Macaca fascicularis: one gene and its partner. The protein of the gene in region 1 interacts with the protein of each later gene in a pairwise test. Links are inferred from orthologs where the notes say so. Each region holds a gene or a part of one and is shown in the gene's direction. Other genes may lie near its edges. The genes, in order: NUDT21 and RPLP1.

What was found.
Region 2: the proteins of NUDT21 (region 1) and RPLP1 interact in a two-hybrid assay, tested with the Homo sapiens proteins (2 studies listed by BioGRID and IntAct). The link is inferred for Macaca fascicularis from reciprocal best matches to the Homo sapiens genes NUDT21 and RPLP1.

Annotation. Positions count from the first base shown.
Region 1 is NC_088394.1:52,508,232-52,514,499, reverse strand, and holds part of NUDT21 (cleavage and polyadenylation specificity factor subunit 5), read left to right. Parts: intron 1-3,461; coding exon 3,462-3,662; intron 3,663-4,762; coding exon 4,763-4,826; intron 4,827-6,268. UniProt on the Homo sapiens protein: Component of the cleavage factor Im (CFIm) complex that functions as an activator of the pre-mRNA 3'-end cleavage and polyadenylation processing required for the maturation of pre-mRNA into functional mRNAs.
Region 2 is NC_088381.1:46,247,184-46,254,238, forward strand, and holds RPLP1 (large ribosomal subunit protein P1), read left to right. Parts: upstream 1-2,599; 5' UTR 2,600-2,729; coding exon 2,730-2,801; intron 2,802-3,441; coding exon 3,442-3,516; intron 3,517-4,646; coding exon 4,647-4,764; intron 4,765-4,904; coding exon 4,905-4,984; 3' UTR 4,985-5,023; downstream 5,024-7,055. UniProt on the Homo sapiens protein: Plays an important role in the elongation step of protein synthesis.

The DNA of each region.
Region 1 (6,268 bases):
TGAAGAAATTGTCAGTAATGCTTTTTAAAATCGTGTCTGAGGATTTGTTTTCGAGGCAACGTGGTGCCTCTATTTTCCTGATGGAGGAAAGTGGCCAGTTTATGCCAGTCTGTGTACAAGTGCAAGGATTTGGTGGTATTGATGTTTTCGTAGGGCAGTTTAGGTGTTTCTCTTGTTTTATATTAAAATAAATGGACGTTCTCTCTCCGTCCGCCAACCAAAGTGATTTGAAGTTGAAAAGATGGTTAACATTGTTTTATTTTGTAAAATGTGTTGGCTTGGAAATTTAGATGATGGAAATGCTGGGTTTATAAAATCTGGAATTAGTCGATAGTTGTGTGTATAAAAGTCCTCAGGAGTGGCGGCTCAAGACTGTAATCCCAGCACCTTGGGAGGCCGAGGTGGGAGGATCACTTGAGGCCGGGAGTTGTAGACAAGTCTGGGCAACATAGGCTGTCTCTACAAAAATGTTTTTAAAAATTAAGAAAAAAATCCATCAAATGGTAAAGGCAAATGTTATCCTTTTTAAAAGTATGAAAGCACAGCTTCTGGGTTACTTTCAGTGGTGATTAGAGCTAAAACCCACAGTCTTTTCTTGTTTTGTCTTGATTACTGAATTAATTTGCACCAAGCCATTATGTAGAATTAACTTGGCAAAATAGTTAGCTTTCAGCAAGATTTTAATCTTCGCTCTATTAAAATTATGGGTTGATTTACAGTACATTTCTTCTCCTATATAAATATAAATATTCAGAAATAATCATTGTGTTGTGAACTTAAGTTCACCTGAGTTAATATTAAGTTGAAAACAAATGCGCTCTCCCCAGTATATTTTCTTTTTTTTTTTTTTTTTTTTTTTTTTTTTTTGAGACGGAGTCTCGCTCTGTCACCCAGGCTGGAGTGCAGTGGCCGGATCTCAGCTCACTGCAAGCTCCGCCTCCCGGGTTTACGCCATTCTCCGGCCTCAGCCTCCTGAGTAGCTGGGACTACAGGCGCCCGCCACCTCGCCCGGCTAGTTTTTTGTATTTTTTAGTAGAGACGGGGTTTCACCGGGTTAGCCAAGATGGTCTCGATCTCCTGACCTCGTGATCCGCCCGTCTCGGCCTCCCAAAGTGCTGGGATTACAGGCTTGAGCCACCGCACCCGGCCTCCCCAGTATATTTTCTTTCAGGAAATATTGCATGAATGCCTACTTTGTGCCAGGCACTGTGCACAATACTGGATATACAGTGGTGAGGAAGTAAGGTGTAGCCCCTGCTTTATGAAGCTCACAGTATGATGAGAACAATATGTATGTCTGGGCTGGCACTCTGATTTCACAGGTGAAAATTCTGACATTTCATCTTGACATTACTGATATATTGGAGCTGGCTCTTGCAACAGAGATGTGTAATGGCTATCCTTAATTCTTTCTAACTCAGGTTGTGAGAATTAAATGTTAATATATGTAAAGCGTTTGAAAAAATTGCCTGGCACATCGTGCTGTGTAGCATATCTGCCGCTGCTATGGATGATGGTGTTAGATTTAGCCTTGGGTCTACTGGGGATGTTCTTTAAATCTTTAAAGCATCCTTGAAATGGTATATTTTAATTCTTTTATAGCTTTTTCATATGCCTAGAACTTGGCTTCTGAAATTAATTTTTTTTTTTTTTTTTTTTTTTTGAGACGGAGTCTAGCTCTGTTGCCCAGGCTGGAGTGCAGTGGCCGGATCTCAGCTCACTGCAAGCCCCGCCTCCCGGGTTCACGCCATTCTCCTGCCTCAGCCTCCCGAGTAGCTGGGAGTACAGGCGCCCGCCACCTCGCCCGGCTAATTTTTTTTTTTTGTATTTTAGTAGAGACGGGGTTTCACCGTGTTAGCCAGGATGGTCTCGATCTCCTGAACTCGTGATCCGCCCGTCTTGGCCTCCCAAAGTGCTGGGATTACAGGCTTGAGCCACTGCGCCCGGCCTTAAAGTAATTTTTAAAGTTTTGGCAACCTTGATTTTTTTCCCCTTTCAAGAATGGCTGAGTGTAGTAGATGCAATAATGTTGACTATTAATGTCAAGGGCTTTTGGTAGAATAGATACTATAGGTGGGCAAATGTGGCGTAAATTCTTACTCAAAGGCTTCTTGCTGTAAGGCTTTAATTAAGGGCGTACGACATATAAGTATGGAATTTTTAAGTATCTTTAAAGAAAAATTTGATCCTTATTAGGCAAGATGAAAACTGTCTTTAACAGTTTGAGCCATATTTTAAATTCTTGGTAAAGGGGTGGGTAGAAGATTCAGATGAGGAGAAGGAAACAATAAGGAGACTGAATAGAATAAATGCCCAAGGCTAGTAAATAGGGTTAGAGGACAGAAAGAGAAAGTAGAAGAGTTGCTGTGAAAAGGAAAGGCTGTGGTGCAAGAAAAATCTGAGGATAGTTGACTGAGAGAAATAGAAAATAACTGGAGGGATGTTGATGAAAAGTGGTGGCTTAGTTTTAGAAAAAAGAGATTAGCCATTAGCACCCATAATTAAAACTTTCTGATTAGATTAGTAGTCAGAGGAATGCAGGGGGACATTAATTATTAGCCAAATTGGTCTTGTTGGAATAGCAGCCATGGTCTAAAACCAGAGGATTACTAATGTTCAGATAACCATTTCTCTAAGCATTTAAGGATAGTGTTATCTACACTTGAAAGTTAAAGTATGGAGGAGTAGCTTGATCTCATGGAAGCTCTGGCTTTTTTTTTTTTTTTTTTTTGAGACGGAGTCTCACGCTGTTGCCCAGGCTGGAGTGCAGTGGCGCGATCTCGGCTCACTGCAAGCTCCGCCTCCTGGGTTCACGCCATTCTCCTGCCTCAGCCTCCTGAGTAGCTAGGACTACAGGCGCCCGCCACCGCGCCCGGCTAATTTTTTGTATTTTTAGTAGAGACGGGGTTTCACTGTGGTCTCGATCTCCTGACCTTGTGATCCGCCCGCCTCGGCCTCCCAAAGTGCTGGGATTACAGGCTTGAGCCACCGCCCAGGCTGGAGTGCAGTGGCGGGATCTCAGCTCACTGCAAGCTCCGCCTCCCGGGTTCACGCCATTCTCCTGTCTCAGCCTCCCAAGTAGCTGGGACTACAGGCGCCCGCCACTTCGCCCGGCTAGTTTTCTGTATTTTTTTTTTTTAGTAGAGACGGGGTTTCACCGTGTTAGCCAGGATGGTCTCGATCTCCTGACCTCGTGATCCGCCCGTCTCGGCCTCCCAAAGTGCTGGGATTACAGGCTTGAGCCACCGCGCCCGGCCGGAAGCTCTGGCTTTAAGAGTCCAGAGAACAAGATTCCAATCTCTACTGTCTCATTAACTTTAGTTATGTAACTGTACAAATCCTGTGTCTCTGAGTACAACATATGCACTTTTTTTTTGTACTGTGGTTTCTTTATGCTAATGTCTGTCATGGTAAATTATATTCTTCAGTTCTCATGTTAGATGTTTGTCTTTGGATCACAGGTACCCTCTTACCAATTATACTTTTGGTACAAAAGAGCCCCTCTATGAGAAGGACAGCTCTGTGGCAGCCAGATTTCAGCGCATGAGGGAAGAATTTGATAAAATTGGAATGAGGAGGACTGTAGAAGGGGTTCTGATTGTACATGAGCACCGGCTACCCCATGTGTTACTGCTACAGCTGGGAACAACTTTCTTCAAACTGTAAGTAGTGTTGGAAATTAACAGCAAGACAGTTTTTAGTAGGATTGCTGTTTATGCAGCTGTGGACTACAATTTTAGCCCTCGGTCATTTATTTCAACAAACACTGCTGTTAATGATGTCTTTAAAAAGAGAAAATCACGAGTAATTTTTCTCCATTGCGGTGCTCGTTTATTTTCCTAACTAGTAATCTGCGTGTTTCTATATGTTGTCGATGTTAGTGATTGAGCTTGGTAGAAACCCTGTGGAATAGTTGAGTTCAAGATCAATGTCTAGATGTCATTGTAGCATCACCAAGAACAATTGGTATTTCTTTCTTGGTATGATTTGCATTTCCTATTCTTAAGATGACTTAGGTTTTTGTGGATAACAGTTTATTTTTTTGTCATTTAAGCTCCTGCATCTCTCAAACATTTGATCCACAACTATTTGACTAGATTATACCAAAAAGAAAGGTCTCCAATACTTAGATGGCGCTCTTGAAAAAGTGTCCCATTGTTTAGGCCTAAAGAATATGATCCATTCCTCTCTGGGCATTTCTAGACTCCATTATCATCAGATAGCTTCCAGAGACGAGATTGGGATGGACTGGTGGTTAGCAATTTTGTTTATGTTTGTGCTATGTTATGTATTCTGTTGGTTTAAAACTAGGGTTTATGTGATGGGTACATATGGACATAAAGTTGGAAAAAATGAACACTGTATACTCCAAAGGTGGGGAGCGGGAGGGAGAGGCGAGAGTTGAAATACTTCCTGTTAGATGTTATGTTCACTGTTTTGGTGATTGGTTCACTAGAAGCCTAAACCTTAGCATTACACAATATACCTATGTAATAAACTTGTACATGTACCCCTTGAATCGACAATAAAATAAAAATAAATATATACAAAGAGGAAAAAAACCTAGGGTTTGTATACTGTTAGTCTGGGGAATTGACATGAATTCAAGCATATTCTCCCCCTTCACTTTGATACTTGTTTTGATTGCCTTATTACACTGAAATATGTTACTTAGTGACTTGATAGACATAACATTTATTGTGTTCTTTGTTATCTCCAAATTGCATTAAGTTGAAAGCTGAAATTCTTAACTTTTATACAGACCTGGTGGTGAACTTAACCCAGGAGAAGATGAAGTTGAAGGACTAAAACGCTTAATGACAGAGGTATTTTTCTGTTTAACCTAACTTTGCATACCATCAACTTAATAGTTAATTTGGCTTTTAATGTCTTGTAAAAAGGATGTTTATTTTGGAATATTGAGTTTTCAATAAATACAACTTAAACCCCAGAATGTTAGTACAATGTTGATTTTTTTTACAAGTTGAACTTACACTTACTTCAATTTTTAAAATGTTAAACTGTGTCACAGCAATGATAAAAACTGACATTTAAGTATTACTGTGCTAGACACTGTTCTAAGTGCTTTACATGTGCTAATTCCTTTAATCACCACCACAACTCTAGGAAGCAGATATTAATAAGTTTAAATTACTTCTTGTTATATAGCTAGTGTGTTGTAGAGCTAGAGGTTTGAATGCAGGTAGTTTTGTTCAAGAGTAGGCCTCTATGGAATTTTGAAAAGAGAAAGACGCCTGTGTTTTCACTTTTTTCACATATTTTTTAGACTTTGCCCAAATTATTCTACTTTTAAAAAATCATTGTAATGCCTGCATGTAAAGACTTGGGGCCAAATGCATAGATACTGAGGATTTTGAGACTGTAAGTTGTTTTCAATGTTTGTTTTCTTCTTTAACATGCAGTTGCCGCCTGCCCCCTTTACAAAACTCATACATTCTCTGTGCAAAAAGCTTGGCAAACACAGAAAAGCAAAGGAGAAACAAAACTAAAGTCACCTGTAATTCTCCTACTTTTGACCTATTGGTTTGTCTTTCTAGTATTTCTAAAAATGTATTATAACTCTTAAACATTTACTGTGCTTGGACTTCCATTTATGTAATGTCTGGTACAAAGATGTAAGTGCAGTAGGATTGAGGGAGTGCAAAATGAGAGACTCACAAAAGCAAAATTTTTGGAAACTGGAAAACAGATGGGCAAATTATAACTAACTTGGCAGAAACCTTAGTCCAACAGACAGGCAGGCAGAATCCAACACTGCAGAGTACCAGAATGACTGAGGAACTGAAGGTGCTAGGTACTTATGAAAGTGGGGGCATGCATGGGCTGAAAACTGGACTGGTTCAAAGTATATATGAAGTATATTTATACAGGTTGAGTATTCCCTGTCTGAGAGCTTGGGACCAGAAGTGTTTAGCTACTATTTGATAGCACAATAGGGTGATTATAGTCAGTAATCACTTAATTGTAAATTTTAAAATAACTAAAAGAGTATAATTGGATTGTTTGTAACACAAAGGATAAATGCTTGAGGGGGTGGATACCCTGTTCTCCATGATGTGAATATTATGCATTGCATGCCTGTATCAAAACATCTTGTGTACCCCATACATATATACATCTACTATATATGCAAAAAAATTTAAAAAAAAGTGATTAGGATTTGGGATTTTTTTTCAGGTTTTGGAATATTTGCATTATGCTTACCAGTTAAGCATCCCATATACAAAACTTGAAATGCTGCAATGAA
Region 2 (7,055 bases), on another chromosome or scaffold:
CACTACCCAGCCTGCTTTTTAAATTATTATTTAACAGAGACAGCCTGGGCATGGTGGCTCACACCTGTAATCCCAGCACTACAGGATGGCTTGAGCTCAGTTCGAGACCAGCCTGAGCAACATGCTGAAATCCCATCCCTACAATTTAAAAATTAGCCATGCATGGCGGCACATACCTGTAGTCCCACCTACAGGGGAGGCTGAGGTGGGAGGATTGCCTGAGCCTGGGAGGCAGAGGTTGCAGTGAGCTGTGATGGCGCCACTGTGCTCCAGCCTGGGCAATGGAATGAGACCCTAGCTCAAAAAAAAAAAAAAAAAAAAAAAACCACAAAGTAATAGGGACTGGGTCTCACTATGTTGCCCCAGGCTGGTCTTGAACTCCTGGGCTCAAGCAATCCTCCCGCCTTGGCCTCCCCAAAGTACTTGAATTGCAGGCATGAGCCACCATGCCCTGTCCCAACCCACTTGAAAAAAAAAAAAAAAAAATTTAGCCAGACGCAGTGGTTCACGCCTGTAATCCCAGCACTTTGGGAAGCCAAGATGGGCGAATCACCTGAGGTTAGGAGTTTGAGACCAGCCTGGCCAACATGGTGAAACCCCATTTCTATTAAAAATACAAAAAATTAGCCAGGCGTGGTGGCACGCGACTGTAATCCAAGCTACTCTGGAGGCTGTGGCAGGAGAATAGCTTGAACCTGGGAGGCAGAGGTTGCAGTGAGCCGAGATCGCGCCATTGCACTCCAGCCTGGGGAACGAGCAAAACTCCGTCTCAGGAAAAAAAAAATTTTAAATGGCTTATTGCATAGTATTTTCAAAATATTAATGGGAAATTTTTACTATGATAGGAGAATATGGGGCAGTGGAATTTGTCTGAAGTAACTGTTGAATGCACTAAGTCCTTCAACAACACAAAAGGAAATGCATGAGTACTGACATTTTGCTTAGCTACTTCTCTTTAATAGCTGTGGTTAGTGCTTACTGTTTGATACCCTGTAAAAGTGCGTATACGTGGAGAAAACGATTATTTCCTCAGTGACCACAAAGTGCCACTTGCCAACCAGATCAGTTTTTTTTTGTTTGTTTGAGACGGAGTTTTGCTCTTGTTGCCCAAGCTGGAATGCAATGGCACGATCTCGGCTCACTGCAACCTCCGCCTCTCGGGTTCAAGCGATTCTCCTGCCTCAGCTTCCCTAGCAGCTGGTATTACAGGCACCCGCCACCACGCCCAGCTATTTTTTTGTTTTTTAAGTAGAGACGAGGTTTCACTATGTTGGCCAGGCTGGTCTCGAACTCCTGACCTCAGGCGATCCACCCGCCTCAGCCTCCCAAACTGCTGGAATTGCAGGCATGAGCCATCGCGCCCGGCAGATCAGTTTTTTAAGTACACTGCTGGAGGTACACAGTATTTTGGACTGACTCATTGTAGCTTTGGAAATGTTTGGATTTTTAAATAGCTTTAAGCTTTCTTGACCAAAATTCCACTATAATGGCTTCTTAGATTTGGATGAAAACTCAGTAGCTTTATTTTTAAAAAGTTTGATAGCTTTATAAAAACTTTTTTAAAAAAATTCGGGATATGAAACTATTTGTTTGTAGTTAAGATTGACCCAAATAGGACTCTAGATTGGTGGATTCCAACAGAAATGTTTCATCAGAGATGATTATTAAATAATGGGATGGACTAAATGAAGGTTCCCGAAAAAAAAAAAATCTTGAACTAACTTTCCAGTAAACTAAGCAAATTCCACGAGCAATGTAAAGGTGACCATTTTTGAAGGTAGGAATTTAAATTGGGTTCAGATAACAAATAACAGGTTGTATACAATTTACCCATAATCCCCCTTCCCCGAAGCACTAGGCGGTGAAGTTAGGCTTCTGGATTCCAACTCCACGCTCCACCGCGCGGAACTATGCAACCTTGGGTTAGTTACCAGGTCTAAGGCTTCTAGATTCCAACTCCACGCTCCACCGCGCGGTAACTACACTATCTTGGGCTAGTTATCGGCTCTAAGACTTAATTTTGCCATCTGCAAGATGGAGATAACATCCAACTCCTGCTGTGTGAGGATTACGTGAATCCTTGTAGAATGTGGCTCAGTTACTGGGATATAGTAAGCGCTCCACGGCTACTGCTATCATAATGCCGTTAGTTTGCTTGTCCTCCTACATCTACCTACATCTATCTATCTCACCCAAGGCCCAGCGCTAAGCAGCGACGTCCATGGTGGGACGCAGCCTTTACCCTCAGGGTCAGCGCCGGCTGGGAAGGCCGCGACCTAACTGGGAGATTACGAACAGTGTCACCACGGCCACAGCGCAGCTCCTGCCAAGTCAAGCAGCTCATGGAACCAACGGCGGCGAAGTCCGAATACCTACGCAACCCTATCCTAAAAGTGTTTTTAACCGTCTCAAGTCCTATAATTTAAGAAAATAAAGTGAGACCGTAACTGTTGGCGCTGAGAAACTTTCTCAACAGGAAGAACGAAGCAGGCGCAGCGCGCAGGCGTCTTCAATCGGTCCTGGGTCCGCCTCTTCCGCCCGGTGCGGGCGCCGATTGGTCCGCGTGGTCACATAAGAGACTGCGCATAGGCGCAAGAACCTCTTTCCTCAGCTGTCGCGAAGGTGCTCGGTCCTTCCGAGAAAGCTAAGGCCGCGTTGGAGTGAGGGCCTCACTTCATCCGGCGACTAGCACCGCGTCCGGCAGCGCCAGCCCCACACTTGCCCGCGCTATGGCCTCCGTCTCCGAGCTCGCCTGCATCTACTCGGCCCTCATTCTGCATGACGATGAGGTGACCGTCACGGTGAGTGCGGGCGCGGGTCGGCGGCCTGGCTGCCTGTGGGCGGCGACTCCCGCCTCTCCATGCGGTTCCGGGCTCCAGGCCGTTGGGCCCAGCACTTCCGGCCGGGGCCAGGCCGCGAAGACAGGCGGCATGGGGCGGGCGCTCCTGGGGGCTGGGGCCTCTCTCGCAGAGCGGGACCTGGGCCCCCGGGACCACGTGCGGGCCCGGGGGGCGTGGAGTGCGCTTGAGGCTGGGCTCTCCGGCTCCAAGATCCTTCGTGTAGAAAAGCTTTTCCGCAGCGCTTGGGCACCCTGACCCGCGCCTCGTCTCTCTCAGGGACACTTACTTGGAACTCTTTTGGTATAATTGCCTTGAATTCCCCGGGTCGTGGAGGATAGCGCCCCAGCTCGGCTCCACCTTCCAGGTCCTAACTTAAAAATAGCCGCGTGACTCAGGCAAGTCCCAGCCCGTGAAACAGCAGTGATGGGCTCGCCTCATTGCAGGGCGCCTGGCACACATCTCTTTTGCTTGTGATAGAATATTTGAGCTGGTTAAACATGTCCTGTACACTTTTTATTGAGTGACTTGCCTTTGACTTGCAGCGTTTTGGAGATACTACATACGCTATGTTTTGATGGATTGACGTTTTTATTTGTTGTAGGAGGATAAGATCAATGCCCTCATTAAAGCAGCCGGTGTAAATGTTGAACCTTTTTGGCCTGGCTTGTTTGCAAAGGTAAGGTGATGGTGGCAAAGTGATGTGGTAAAGCCTGCTGATTTACGAGGGCAGGTGTACATGCTGAAGTACCTCCAGCAGTGCCATAAGGCCCCACATGCCGCTGGATCTCCTAGGTGTATTTGGTTGCATTTATATCTCTAGGAGCTAAGAAGATTTCAGTTTCTCAAGTCTTATGTTTCCTTATCAGACTCTGGTTTCCCCTTTTGCTCTGAAACCATGGTCAAAAAAAAAAAAAATCTGAATCAGGTCATTGATTCCCAAAAAGGATCACCCGGGAGATAGGTACTACCCATGTTAAAGTTGCAAGCAAATTCTTGCATTAAACCTGTGGTTTAATGGACATTTGGGTTTAGCGGACTTTATTGACACAGTAGGTACTATGTGTTGGGATATAAAAGACTAATAAAGACGAGATTCCTGGTCATGGAGCTTGCACTGGCTATTTTCCATTGTACAGGTTACTTAATCTCTGGCAAGTTAAGCTGATAGCATCTAACTCCGGGGTTGTGTCCTCTAAAGAGTTTTGAAAGATTGTAAACATTGTATCTATGTCATCTTTAAGTCCTATGTTTAGAAGACTGAAAATTTGAGTTCACTGTTCAGAGGAGACATGGAATTGTGCAAAGAATATTCATTTGAGTGTTTCAGGAAGTTTGGATTATTTTTTTGCCAACATGTTATTTGTAAAAGGAGGGGAAATCAGCTACCTCAGGAGGTTCTTAACATATAGGAAAGTAATTATCAGATTCAAAGCTGAACGATTGAAAGCTGAACAGTAGTGTGTTGCCCTGTCTAACCTAAGTTTTTGCTGTTAGCAAAGAAAAGCCAGTGTCTAGGGTATTGATTCCAGGGCCTTCCACTAATAACAAAATCCCAGGATGTTCCATCTCTTATATAAATGTATTTGCATATAACCTATGCACATCCTCCTGTATACTTTGGAAGTCTACATGTTTGGTATGCATGCGTTTCCACTGTTGAAACCATGGATGTGGAACCCACTGTATATAGTGTTAGGGGTTGATCACTGTAACCTGGAAGGGGGGATACTTTTCGTTTTTGGTGCGTGAGTGCTGTGTAACAAGGACAGAACCGGGCATTTACCTATGCATGCACATGTATTGCAGGCCCTGGCCAATGTCAACATTGGGAGCCTCATCTGCAATGTAGGGGCTGGTGGACCTGCTCCAGCAGCTGGTGCTGCACCAGCAGGAGGTCCTGCCCCCTCCACTGCTGCTGCTCCAGGTAGGAAACATGGAGTTTCTAGTATTGGGAGGAGTGTAGAGATTTAAAAAATATATATAGTATTATAGGTAAAATTGCCATTAATTTTCCACAAGCAGATGATGTATGGAAATCCTAACACCTGACTGTTTTTTTTCTAGCTGAGGAGAAGAAAGTGGAAGCAAAGAAAGAAGAATCGGAGGAATCTGATGATGACATGGGCTTTGGTCTTTTTGACTAAATCTCTTTTATAACGTGTTCAATAAAAAGCTGAACTTTACTGCTGTTGGTCTTGCCCATAGCTTGGGAATGCGCTCTGCAAAAATGGTATCAGTTTTGTAATGTTGGCTTTCAACCTATTCTGCCATGACAGGCTGGATTTTCCCTGCCACCGTTGCCAGATGTGAGATTATACACAATCCTGATGCTAACAAGAAGGCACCTCATGGTACAGTGTTAAAAACTGCACTGGGGTGTCAGGAGGAAAGATCAGAGCAGATGCTTGCTTTGTCCAGGTTACCTGTATAAACTTGAGGATTATAAGGTGTGTCCCCTCCACTGGGGGCAGAGGGTAATACAGACCAGCATTAGAAAGCCTCCTGGGTAATTACCCTATACAACCCTGCCTAATAATGAACTTTGACCTATGCTGAATTGACTGCTACATCCCAAGGTTGTAAAGAAACTAAGACCTAGCTGTGTAATGTCTCACCAAATGCTTGGGTAACACTGAAGGAATGCAGAAAGTTTACTTCATAGTTTATTAAGGTCCCCAGTTACACAAAGTGGATAAAACAAGATTCAAACCTGGGTTCCAAAAGCTAAGAGCTTTTTTTGTTTGCCAATTAATAATACCATGAGGCCGGGCGCGGTGGCTCAAGCCTGTAATCCCAGCACTTTGGGAGGCCGAGACGGGCGGATCACAAGGTCAGGAGATCGAGACCATCCTGGCTAACACAGTGAAACCCCACGTCTCTACTAAAAAATACAAAAAACTAGCCGGGCACTCCAGCCTGGGTGACAGAGCGAGACTCCGTCTCAAAAAAAAAAAAAAAAAAAATACCATGAATGGAAATTTCGACTTTTCAGGCTTGGATTATATAATAAACCATGGGTATTGTGTATTCAGAGCAGCTAATGACATGCCAGGCACATGAATGAGTCTTATCCTTATCTGCATTAGCATTTAATAGATGAAGACATTCAGTGATGAAAAGCATGACTTCTAGCCGGGGCTGTCATGTCAATGTGAAAAAGACCATTTGTATAAGTTACTGCAACTACTTGGGGAAAATGGCAGTTCTACTTCAAGAGAAACTACATGTGGACATGAGGATACATGCCTGGGAATGTTCAAAGCAACACTTTGAGCAAAGACATTAAGTATATGCATCTGATAAGAGAAATATAAAAGATGGGATGGTGAACAATTTAGGATCTTGAGTAAGGTGCAGTTAACAATGGGTAGGAGTATGTAGGTGTCAGTATTAAAGAGTTTTAAGTTTTTTGAGAGGGGTTCTAGGCTGGAATGCATTGGTGCAGTCATGGCTTACTGCAGCTTCAAACTCCCAGGCTCAAATCAATCATCCCACTTCAGCCACCCCCAGGTGGCTGGGACTACAGGCATGCCACCATGCCTGGCTAATTTTTTGTAGACAAACCTCAACCTCCTGGTGTCAAGCGATCTGCACGCCTTGACCTCCCAAAGTGCTGGGATTGCAAGTATGAGCCATCATGCCTGGCTAGTTTTGTGTTTTTAATATATGGCTTGAGCATCCCTTACCCAAAAAACAAAACATCAACATGACACTCAAAGGAAATGTTCATTGGAACGTTTTGGATTTTCGGGTTAGGAATGCCCAACCTGTATATTAAAACCATAGGCCAGGCATGGTGGTTCATGCCTGTGATTCCTGCACTTTGGGAGGCTGACGCAGGAGGATCACTTAAATCCATGCCCGCCTCTAGAAGAAATTTTTTAAAAAATCAGTGCAGCGCGGTGGTATTCGCCTGTGGCTTCAGTAAGCCATGTTTGTACCATTATACTCGAGACTGGGTGACAGGGCGGGACCCTGTCTAAAATATCTAAGATCATAAAGTATATATAAAAACCTTAGGTATATGCAAATATTCCAAAGTCTGAAAAAAAATTAGAAATCTGAAACAAATGGTCCCAAGCATTTTGGATAAGGGATGCTCAGCCTGTACTAAAGGGCAGTTGTGAACTAGTGAGGATGGTGTCACGAGACAAAGATAAGTGATAGCCTATATCCACATGTTAAGTGCCTGCTTTTCCTTCACCCATTAACAGC